Linked DNA regions of Kluyveromyces lactis. Each later gene encodes a partner of the first gene's protein in a complex. Links are inferred from orthologs where the notes say so. Each region holds a gene or a part of one and is shown in the gene's direction. Other genes may lie near its edges.

The links.
Region 2: the proteins of UBC9 (region 1) and KAP122 are in contact, whole or in part, in a crystal structure (PDB 6Q83), measured with the Saccharomyces cerevisiae proteins. The link is inferred for Kluyveromyces lactis from reciprocal best matches to the Saccharomyces cerevisiae genes UBC9 and KAP122. Residues at the interface, in NP_010219.1 of Saccharomyces cerevisiae: Arg13, Arg17, Lys18, His20, Pro21, Phe22, Gly23, Phe24, Lys27, Lys30, Asp33, Gly34, Ser35, Met36, Pro128, Glu131, Pro132, Trp134, Arg135, Ser136, Arg139, Asn140, Glu143, Lys146, Lys147, Leu150, Lys153, Gln154, Tyr155, Ser156; in NP_011499.1 of Saccharomyces cerevisiae: Ala308, Ile367, Asp371, Arg427, Val429, Asp430, Leu433, Asp434, Asp437, Thr440, Asn441, Asn489, Glu492, Asp493, Asp500, Ser504, Arg606, Lys656, Val659, Lys663, Ser698, His699, Phe700, Asp754, Asn757, Cys758, Tyr761, Asn820, Ser821, Ala822.
Region 3: the proteins of UBC9 (region 1) and UBA2 are in contact, whole or in part, in a crystal structure (PDB 3ONG), measured with the Saccharomyces cerevisiae proteins. The link is inferred for Kluyveromyces lactis from reciprocal best matches to the Saccharomyces cerevisiae genes UBC9 and UBA2. Residues at the interface, in NP_010219.1 of Saccharomyces cerevisiae: Met1, Leu6, Gln10, Glu11, Arg13, Lys14, Arg17, Lys30, Asp33, Gly34, Ser35, Met36, Leu38; in NP_010678.3 of Saccharomyces cerevisiae: Asp474, Ser476, Leu478, Gln483, Arg484, Leu485, Leu486, Asp488, Tyr489, Asp490, Phe491, Asp493, Leu494, Leu511, Ser513, Glu515, Glu516, Gly517.

Annotation. Positions count from the first base shown.
Region 1 is NC_006041.1:442,021-444,435, forward strand, and holds UBC9 (E2 SUMO-conjugating protein UBC9), read left to right. Parts: upstream 1-1,425; coding exon 1,426-1,899; downstream 1,900-2,415. Other genes in the region: PEX19 (Pex19p), read right to left, coding at 179-1,081; SYO1 (Syo1p), read right to left, coding at 2,242-2,415. UniProt on the Saccharomyces cerevisiae protein: E2 ubiquitin-like--protein ligase mediating SUMO/Smt3 attachment to septins and PCNA. Seems to be involved in degradation of S- (CLB5) and M-phase cyclins (CLB2).
Region 2 is NC_006037.1:432,325-436,451, forward strand, and holds the start of KAP122 (Kap122p), read left to right. Parts: upstream 1-1,256; coding exon 1,257-4,127. Other genes in the region: ATE1 (arginyltransferase), read left to right, coding at 1-897.
Region 3 is NC_006041.1:285,468-289,166, reverse strand, and holds UBA2 (E1 ubiquitin-activating protein UBA2), read left to right. Parts: upstream 1-1,179; coding exon 1,180-3,054; downstream 3,055-3,699. Other genes in the region: isocitrate dehydrogenase (NAD(+)) IDH2, read right to left, coding at 1-342; KLLA0_E03081g (Rho GTPase-activating protein), read right to left, coding at 3,352-3,699. UniProt on the Saccharomyces cerevisiae protein: The dimeric enzyme acts as a SMT3 E1 ligase. It mediates ATP-dependent activation of SMT3 and formation of a thioester with a conserved cysteine residue on AOS1.

The DNA of each region.
Region 1 (2,415 bases):
ATTGGTTATTATTGGTTTAGAGCTAGTCTCGTGATTTCAGTCCTCAATATGAATTTCAAAGTCGAAAAGAGAAAAATAGCCATATTATTCGAATATCATACTAATAGGCAAAGAGTGAAAGAAATAGAATAATAGTTTATTATGATTAAATATTATATTATGAGCTCATATACACATTTTATTGCTGTTTGCAGGTATCTTCAAGGTCTTTGTCGATGTTACCTAGATTTTCATCTCCTTGTATTTCCAGCATCTTGGCTAATTCTGACATATCGTTTCCAGGATCGTTACTAGTTCCCTTTGCAACCGGTGAGTCACCGAGTTGCTCTAGTTCATCCAATAGATCTGCGATCTCAGCATGGTACTTTTCATTCGTATAATCATCGCTTTCGAATACACCGATGATCTGATTCACAAGTGCATACTGTTTCTTGTAGTTATCAATCTTGTCGCTGTGTTCGGGGTCTTCTTCGTGTAATCCCATCCACTCGGTGAATTCTCCCTGCATTTGTTTCATCGGCTGATATAGCACTTCTTTAGAAGACATTTGTGAAAGCATTTTCAAAATGGCATTGTCCATTCCTTCTCCGTCCGTACCGTTGCCATCGCCGTTTTCCACTAGTTGATCTAGCAATTGGGAAAGAATATCGTCTGAGTTCTGATTTTTCTTCTCTTCCTCCAAACTTTCATCCACTTTCGTAGAATTTTCTTTCAATCTATCTAGGGTGTTGGAAATGATATTCTTGAAACCAGTACCGCTCTTCAATTGCTCCTGAACGTGTTTTACACTGTTATGGTCTTTCTCCTTCGATGCATCTCCAAGTACAGTTAGCAATGTCTCGAAATTCTGAACCATTTCTTGGTCAGTATCACCGCCTTCCTGCTGCATCAATTGTTGGAACTGTTTCTGCAAATCTTCCATCATCTCGACTACTTCTGGATCATCGCTCTGCGTAGCAGGCTCACCCTTAGTAACTGCCTCATTTGGAACAGTTTCTTGTTTTTCCTGTTCATCCAGTTTGCGTGGATCCTCTAAATAGTCATCCAAATCATCAAATTCGTCAACTTTGTTGTCTGACATCGTTTGTCGAAGTATCTGATTACTATCCGTTGAAATTTTGGTGGTGCGTAGCCCTTACTATTAATTATACCTCAGTTAAGGTTTCTTTAGTCACTGTCAATTCTGAAAAATATCACTTTTTCTTCAAAACACTATTGATGCTTTTTCTACAATATCAAAATCATCTTCAAAATCACAAACAAAAAGACGTATCGCACGGAATATCATATCCTCCAATTATTCAACAACGGTAAATCTGAGTTAAGGCTCTATTTACAACAGGGCGCAACGTACCTTAATATATTTACGGTATCTGTATATTAAAGCGACTCGACGATCAGAACGGCCGAATAATATAAACAGTCATGAGTAGTCTTTGTCTACAGAGGTTACAAGAGGAGAGAAAGAAGTGGAGAAAAGATCATCCTTATGGGTTCTTTGCCAAACCAACTAAAAAGACAGATGGATCTATGAACTTGCAGAAATGGGAGGCTGGTATCCCTGGAAGAGACGGCACTCTCTGGAAAAATGGTCTTTATCCTTTGACCATTGAATATCCTGATGACTATCCGTCAAAACCTCCTAAAGTGAAATTTCCAGCAGGATTTTATCACCCTAATGTTTATCCCAGTGGAACCATTTGCTTATCAATCTTGAACGAAGATCAGGACTGGAGACCTGCTATCACCTTGAAACAACTCTTACTTGGTGTACAGGATCTTTTGGATTCTCCGAACCCTAACTCACCTGCGCAAGAGCCAGCTTGGAGAGCTTTCTCGAAAAACATTAAGGAATATGAGAGGAAAGTCTCAGAACAAGCTCTTAGGTATACCAAGTGATACCTCCATAATACAACTTCGGAAGTAAACCATTTACTGACAGAGAAAATGCAAATACGCAGATGACGGCAGATATCAACTTGCGGGAAACCCTGGGCCTTCCCCAGCGTAAAGCGCAAATCAAATAAATTTGCTGTATTCTATGGCTCGATTTATTCTACGGTGTTGACCATTGTTATATGGCTGTATAGAGATATATCATAGGATGGAACGATCCAGTAGGTGTATAGTTCTCGTGTAAAATTTAAAATTAATATCAAGAATAATGCTAATGAATACTTGATTTATTCAATTATTTTGTATTTTACTATTATCAGGTGTAGACTGTATATATTTATTGTTTTATTTGTTACGTTCATTTTGTTTGTATGCAATAAAACTATCCAATGTAGAAAAGCAATCCTGACATCTTTCTTTCAGTTGAGGATCTTTGTTCTTGTCAACAAACTTGAAAACATTCTTCAAATTTAATGAAACCTGTGTTTGAAGTATCGAAAGATAGTTCAAGTTTACAAA
Region 2 (4,127 bases), on another chromosome or scaffold:
GAAAAGGAATGGGAACAATTAAACAATTGGCATAACTTACAACCAGGGGAGAGGGTGACCAAAAATGGACCTGCTCATGAGTGTTACTATCATAATGGGAAATTGATTGCATTGTCTGTACTGGATTTTTTGCCCAGTGGGGTATCATCAGTCTATTTCATTTGGGATCCAGATTATTATGATTGGTCGTTAGGTAAGGTTAGTGCATTAAGAGAATTGGCTTTAGTGTCAAAAATCGGAAGGCCGTACTATTACCTAGGTTACTACATAGACGACTGCCCAAAGATGAACTACAAGGCCAAGTTTGGTGGTGAAATTCTTGATGTCTGTAATCAAAAATACGTGCCATTATCGAAGATCCATCAGATTATTAAACATAACGAATTGTTTGTCGGGCTGAACTCGACCGTTGCCTCCCCAGATAGCGAGATTCTCATCACCAGTGCATCTGACAAAATAAACTTTGATGAACCATTCATTAACGCTGTTGATGATATATATGGCCCCAATGGGAATGCTTCTCAGAATGCCATCACTTCCGTCGCTAAGTTAAGAAAATATGGAATTAATTACTCTCCTGATCTGCAACGTAGCATTTATAAGGAGATTCCCAATGATGGCAATTCCACTTCATCAGCATCCTCAGACAAAAAAGATGTGTATCGAATTCCAAATGTCGTTCCAGGTTTAGTCCCATTAATGGAGATTGTTTCTCTTTTTGAATCGGGCAAAATGAACGAATTGAACAACAATGTTGTGTTATTTGACACGAAAATCAATGCGCTTAGAATTGTCAGGGATTTTATTTCAGAAAAGCCTGAAATTAAAACTGTTATCACCGATGTGATAAGACTCATTGGATTAGATAATACAAAAAAAGCCATAATAATCATATAAAGAGCCTATTTAGGTAGAAACTACGATACAATAAAAACTATAAATGATCTACCTTCACGGGTGTATCGAAAATTATATAAGCAGCAATAACTAGTCTTAATAACTTCCATCTTGTCATTGTACTGCAGAGTTCTCTTTTCGTCAACATCTGCAATGAATGGCATGGCTTGCAGAAAAGATAGAAAAAAAATTCGAAAAGCTTCAACTTCTACCATTTAATGTAGAAGAACAAGAAATATATCTGATAAAAGAAAGGTCAAGTAAGAGCATATTCCCCTCGATATCAGTGTTTGCATGAAGCACGATCTGGTGACACATTAGTGAGGATTTAGTTAATTTCAGTAGATTCTCAAAAAATAATGGACATCAACCATATTGTTTCCCTTATTGAAACTTTCAACAACAGTCATGATTCGAAGGTAATAAATGACATTCAAAACGTATTGCAACAACACCAAAAATCTGAGCTAGGGATTGATCTTGCCAATGCATTACTATCTCAGGAAAATGGCTCGACAAATGTGAAGTACTTTGGTGCCCTTACGTATACCGTCCAGTTAACGACATGTTTGCATACCGAAAGCCAGCTATGGTCTATCTTCCAAGGTAATTTAGTTCATCTTACAAGAATGATGTTTTTGTTTACTTCCAATCCAGCCGCCGCCTCCAATTTATTGGTGACAATCACCAAGTTGATGTCAAACCTATCTTTAATTTTTTTGACAATTAATAGCGATGCCATCGGAGCTGATTCAAATAAGATTCCTGCATGGCGCAATCCTGTAAATACATGCATCAAGCTATTGCAACATTGCAACGAATCAAACCTGTTTGAATGGAGGACAGACAATTCCGAAATAGCTGAAAGATTGGTTCGTACATGCTTGAATGAAGATGTTCCATACACGGAGCTAATTGGGAACATCAGCTCTTCTGCTCCATTAAACAAATTATTGTTATTATTCACAAAGGTTATTGTTGAAGACATGAACAAATATCAATCGAAAAAAAGTTCCTTGTCCAACGTTTATGAAATGGTACACAACCATTTATATATTAGCACTATGGCCATTTTGAATTTTAACTTGGAGAATATGATGTCTTCTGGTGCAACTTCCGAAGTATTTCCTTGCATTACCTCTTGGATTCATTACATATCAATGGCAAGAAATGTCTCCGCTCATGGAACTATGGACTTGACTGAGATGTTCAACAATATGATAAATGTCATGTGCATGGCAAGCAACGGATCCCAGGAATTCCCATATTCCGACGAGGTGATCTCAATTTTCGATGATTTGTTCTCAAATGACCCTACGCTTATGTCATTCGAAGTTCGTGCTAAACTAGAAGCAATTTTCCTTGGAGTTTCAAGGCATTCAATGAACACCTCGAACGACTGGATGTTAGCATATATGAACCATTTAGTAACAAATGAATTATATGACGATTTGAAGGTCTTGGCATCCTGTGTTGTTGACTTCTTACAAATTTCCAACCTCGACGTTTGTAACAAACTTTTTACCAATATTCATGAGAACACGGGTGACCAATCTTTGGAAGATTACATCAGGGTACTACTACAATTAACCAACTTCCCTCTTATTCCAATCTTGCAGGAAACTTATTCATCTAAAATGATAGAATTCTGGCTCGATCTAGCAGAAGGGTATGGTAATCTTCCTCAAGAAGCCTTAAAGGCAGATGCAAACGAAATCGCTGAAAACATGTTCAATCAAGTGGTTCAAATTTACCTACCGAAGATCAGTCTAATGAATAAACAAAAGATTATGGAAGAAGATGATGATCAATCTTTGCTTCATGAATTTGATGATTTCAGATCCGCAACACAGGATCTCATGGAGATATTATGGACGATCTTGGGTCATAGTAAACTAACTATCGTTCTCATTAGAGGTGTTGGCCAAGCTGACACGAATAATGTTGACTTATATCAGGTAGAGGCAATGTCATTTTTGCTTGCCAAATTATTAGATGGAGTGAATTTCTCACAATCTCCCTTCATCAGTGATGCTATCGGTGAGAACCATCTTATAGACAATTTATTGTTCTTGTTGCAAACAGGATGCAAACAGAAGGAACATTCGAAAACTGCACAGGTTTTGAAGTTAGACTTCGTTAAAGCCACATGCAATTTACTTGGTGTAATGGCCACATATTTCCACGTCGATTCCAAGCCACTTGGACCAATCGTAGAATCTCTATTCGAATGTCTTGAAACATCAAGGCAATACAATCCAATTGAGTATTCGATTAAAATGGAACTACAACTAAACAGGACGATATCGCTAATTTGCGAGAATTGTAGAAAAGAGTTAATTCCTTTCTTGCCAAATTTCATACAAGTTTTACGTTCTATTATGAGGCCCGAATCACCTGTATCGCATTTCACTAGGGAAAAATTTGTGAAATCGATCGGTAACATTATACAGATGTGCGTTTCGGAGGGTCCTGAAGCTCAAGCCAATCATATTTCTAATATGGTGGATATGATTGGAGGCCTAATACAAACCACCGATGCCAAATCTGACATGTTATCGTTACTTGCTTGTCTCAGTGAGTTAGGATCCGGCCTTTCTCAATTACCTAACGACGACGAATTTATAGAAAACAATCCAATGTACCTAGCCCAACTACCCGCATTCCAGGCTTATTGGCTACAAGATCCAATGAGAGTAAAGGACAAAGTCATGCATCTTGTACAATATGCGTTATCCAAATATGGTACTGATCCAGAATTCGTGGAAGTATCTTGTTTAATTATCGGGAAAGCTATAACTTTACCAGATGATATACCGCACTTCTTACGCTATCCATTATCTGAAATGATGTCGTTCTATATGACATGTATTTCGAACTGCGATTATGCATCTGGTCTACCTTACATCGAGTACCAGCTAGAGAAGATTGTAGCTGGATTCAAAGATCAACTAACTTCACACGAATTCGACGAAATGTTCAAACAGTTTTTCCTCAACTATTATTCCAGCCATATCTCATCGGACCCAGATTTGATCCAATCAATGGTATCCTGGGTAAATTCAGTGTTGGAAGCTAAGCCATCTCTAGCACTAAAATCAGAGTACTGGACTCAATTCATTGTGCCCGAATTCTTGAAATACTTGCAGGCAAAGGAAAAATTCACCATCAGTTCCACTACCAAGTTCTGGATGAAGACTTTAAACAACAGAAGATACACACAAGAGGAT
Region 3 (3,699 bases), about 160 kb from region 1:
GTTCAAGGATCTGTGACCCTTACCAATTGGAGTAGCCAATGGACCCTTCAAAGCAATCAAGTTCTTGTTAATTGAAGCAACAGCTGGATCTGGAATAGTAGTTAATCCGTTAACGAAAATTGGACTCACATCACAACTTTCCCATTCAATAGGAACCTTGGCTGCGGAAAAGATCGCCTTAACGGATTTGGAAATTTCTGGACCAACACCATCACCTTCAATGAAGGAAACAGTGTACTTACCAGTCTTTGGGTTTGGCTTACCGGTGTATCTACCGATACTTGGTTGTTTCTTGGTAGCCAAAAATCTACACGATTGCTTCACAATTGATTGTCTGAACATGTCTTTATAGTATGATTGTTGAGGAGAACGGAGAGAAATAATGAAATCCCAAAAATATGTGTCTGACGAATTTCGTTGATATTGTGTCAAATCAGTGACGGGTTACGTTCGTTTTGACTTGAAGATACGAATTGAGTTATTTCAGTTCGTCGTTACGTTGATTCTCTGTTTAATCTTACTCTAGAAGATAAACGATTAATTGGAAAAAATGAAAACCACAAAATAACACTGGTATATATACACCCTTTTATCTGCTTTTGTATCACTCAACAGTCGGAAAGACAGAACCTTACCTCGAGAAAACGAGCTTATATTTATCCGTGTTCAATTGCAGAAATCGACAGGTATTCTGAAATCCTTTATTTTAGGATATATATATATTCGATTTATATTTCTCAGATACTTAATGTAATTTCCCATATGCATCAACATTAACTGAGCACACATAGGCTCGAAGTAGTGCAGCGAATTGGAAAACATCTCGTCATGGAAATCGTTTCGGGACCGAGAAAAGGATGATGGTTCACGGAGGGTAACTCCGAACACGGCCTCGGTTTCAGTCATGTGATGTGAAAATTATTTGCACGTGACTGTGTTTTTTTTCTCTGCTGTTTTCATTGTATCGTTGAAAAATAGTAGCTGGCCATCCATTGAATATTATGAACCTTCCTTTAAAGAGTGCAACATTACTTGTTTGGACAACTACCCTTTAAAAGGAAAAAAGTATACTCAGCTTACCATTTGAAACATCAAATTGTTGATATTTTCCATTGATAACCATTTAAAGTTTTTAGCTAAAGACTTAGAGCTCAACCAATTGTTTGGCATATATTCACGATGGCAAGAGAGACGAATTTGGTAAAATGCATAGGTAAAGAAAGCTTTGAAAAGCTGCGCGATATGAAGGTGTTACTTGTTGGCGCAGGTGGAATTGGCTGTGAGCTTTTGAAGGATTTGATTTTGTTGGAAATAGGTGAAATCCATATCGTTGATTTGGACACTATTGATTTATCGAATTTGAACAGACAGTTTTTATTTAGGAAGAGAGATATTAAACAACCTAAAAGTAATACTGCAATGAAAGCAGTTCAAAGGTTCAGCAACTCTAAACTAGTTTCATATCAGAATAATATCATGGATACAGAAAAGTTCCCACTTTCGTGGTTTGATCAGTTTTCGATTATATACAATGCATTGGACAATCTAGCGGCAAGAAGATACGTCAATAAGATGTGTCAGTTCACTAATAAACCTTTGATCGAATCTGGGACTTCGGGATTCGATGGATACATACAGCCAATCTTCCCAAGTGTCACTGAATGCTTTGATTGCACCACTAAGGAGACACCAACTACGTTCCCGGTCTGTACCATTAGATCCACGCCATCACAGCCAATCCACTGTGTGGTTTGGGCCAAGAATTTCCTATTTGGCCAACTTTTTGCAGAATCCTCAGAAGAGACCGTAAATGATCAAGATTTAGGTACTGATGATAAAGAAGAAATCGCCCGCATCAAAGAGGAGACTAACGAATTACATGCTCTCCAGCAGTTAGTCAAGTCCGGCGATGAGACGAAAATCACAGATATTTTAAAGAAATTGTTCGTCGATGATATCAATAAACTTCTAAAGATTGAAAATCTTTGGAAAACGAGAGTGAAACCAACACCTTTAGGTGCTTTACTACCATCTGATAATATCCCAACAGATCTAGCTCAGGTATGGACATTGCAAGAAAATGTAGATAAGTTTATCGAAGTTACGAAGACATTGATGTTGAGATTAAGGCAGGAACCATTCATAGAATTCGATAAGGATGATGACGATACCTTATTGTTTGTAGCTTGTGCCGCGAATATCAGATCTTACATCTTCCACATTGCACCTAAATCTGTCTTTGATATTAAACAAATGGCTGGTAACATTATTCCTGCCATTGCCACTACAAACGCGATCATCGCCGGTCTTTCTTCATTGGTTTCTTTACGTGTTCTAAACTTGTTGAGTAACGTATCAAATAATCCTTTAGAAATTCCAATGGCATTTACGGCAAGGGCAAGTAATATCACCACAAATAGGTATCTATCGAATCCAACTCTCGCACCCAAGAATCCTCATTGTTCAGTATCTTCTAACATTCAAAGAGCCGTACTGAAAATACCAAAGGCAATTGTTGAGCACATGTCTTTGTACGATCTTAATCAGAAAATCATTTCAAAATATGAGTTCACTGGTGAATACTCCGTTCTCGATACTAATACTAACAGCTTATTGTACGATTTTGATTTTGATGATTTAGAATGCCGGAAGCTTTCAAGATTCAACTTCAGAACTGGTACTTTTCTTCTTTATAAAGACGAGGAAATGGAAGATGGTGCTCAATTAAGGCAGTCAATTGAGTTCTACTTGGAATTTGTACCAGAAAATAGCGGGGAAGACCTTCAGTTACCAAATCTACCAAGAGATACATACACTTATCATTCCCCTTATGAGAATGCAGAGGATGAACAAACAGCTGTCGATGCAGACCAAGATAGAACTGAAGACCATATTCAAGCCATCGAAACCCTGATAGTAGATGATGAGCCTGCCGAGGATGAAAGGAATAATTTGAAGAGGCATCTTTCAAATAGTATTCCATCTCCACCAACAAAGACACCCAAGTTGAATGCATCACAATCTGATGAAGATGATCTTATCCTGCTCGATTAATTGAGCATCGCTAGTCTTCCATATCTATAGATATCTGTTTTACAGTGATGGATATATATATATATATAAACGCACATTAAAGAACTGTAATTATAATAGTACAACATTTTTTGGAGTTTTATTACGTAGTAACATATGGCAAATATGATGAGGAAAGTACAAACAATGATTACAACTGCCAGAAAACCAAAACTGAAAAATAAAGAAGAATTCAACCATTATCATAGATGAGAAAACAGTTATATGCCCATTTGCCAAAGTTGAAATATTGTGTGACAAACATTACGGTATATCAGGTTATTCTCGAATAGATGATCTTGAATGACTTTTTAGTCTTTGCAACCAAGATTCTCGTTTTTTGGATCTTGGTTGACGTTCCTCTTGGCCATCTTCGAAGTCGCTGTCTGTCTTTGAGGTTGGGAAATCATCTTTACTTATGCCCACTATTGAAGGCAGTTGTAACATTTTTGCACTATTTGTGCTGCCCGTCTTGCGCAGCATAGGCGAAGATGGTCTTGAACTACTATCATACTCATCTTCTGTATCACTAACAAATAGCTTGTTTAAAAAGGGTATTTTGGAATGGCGCCTTGATGCTATCATATCAGAAGGTGCATTGGCACTGCTTAATGATTTGGAATACGG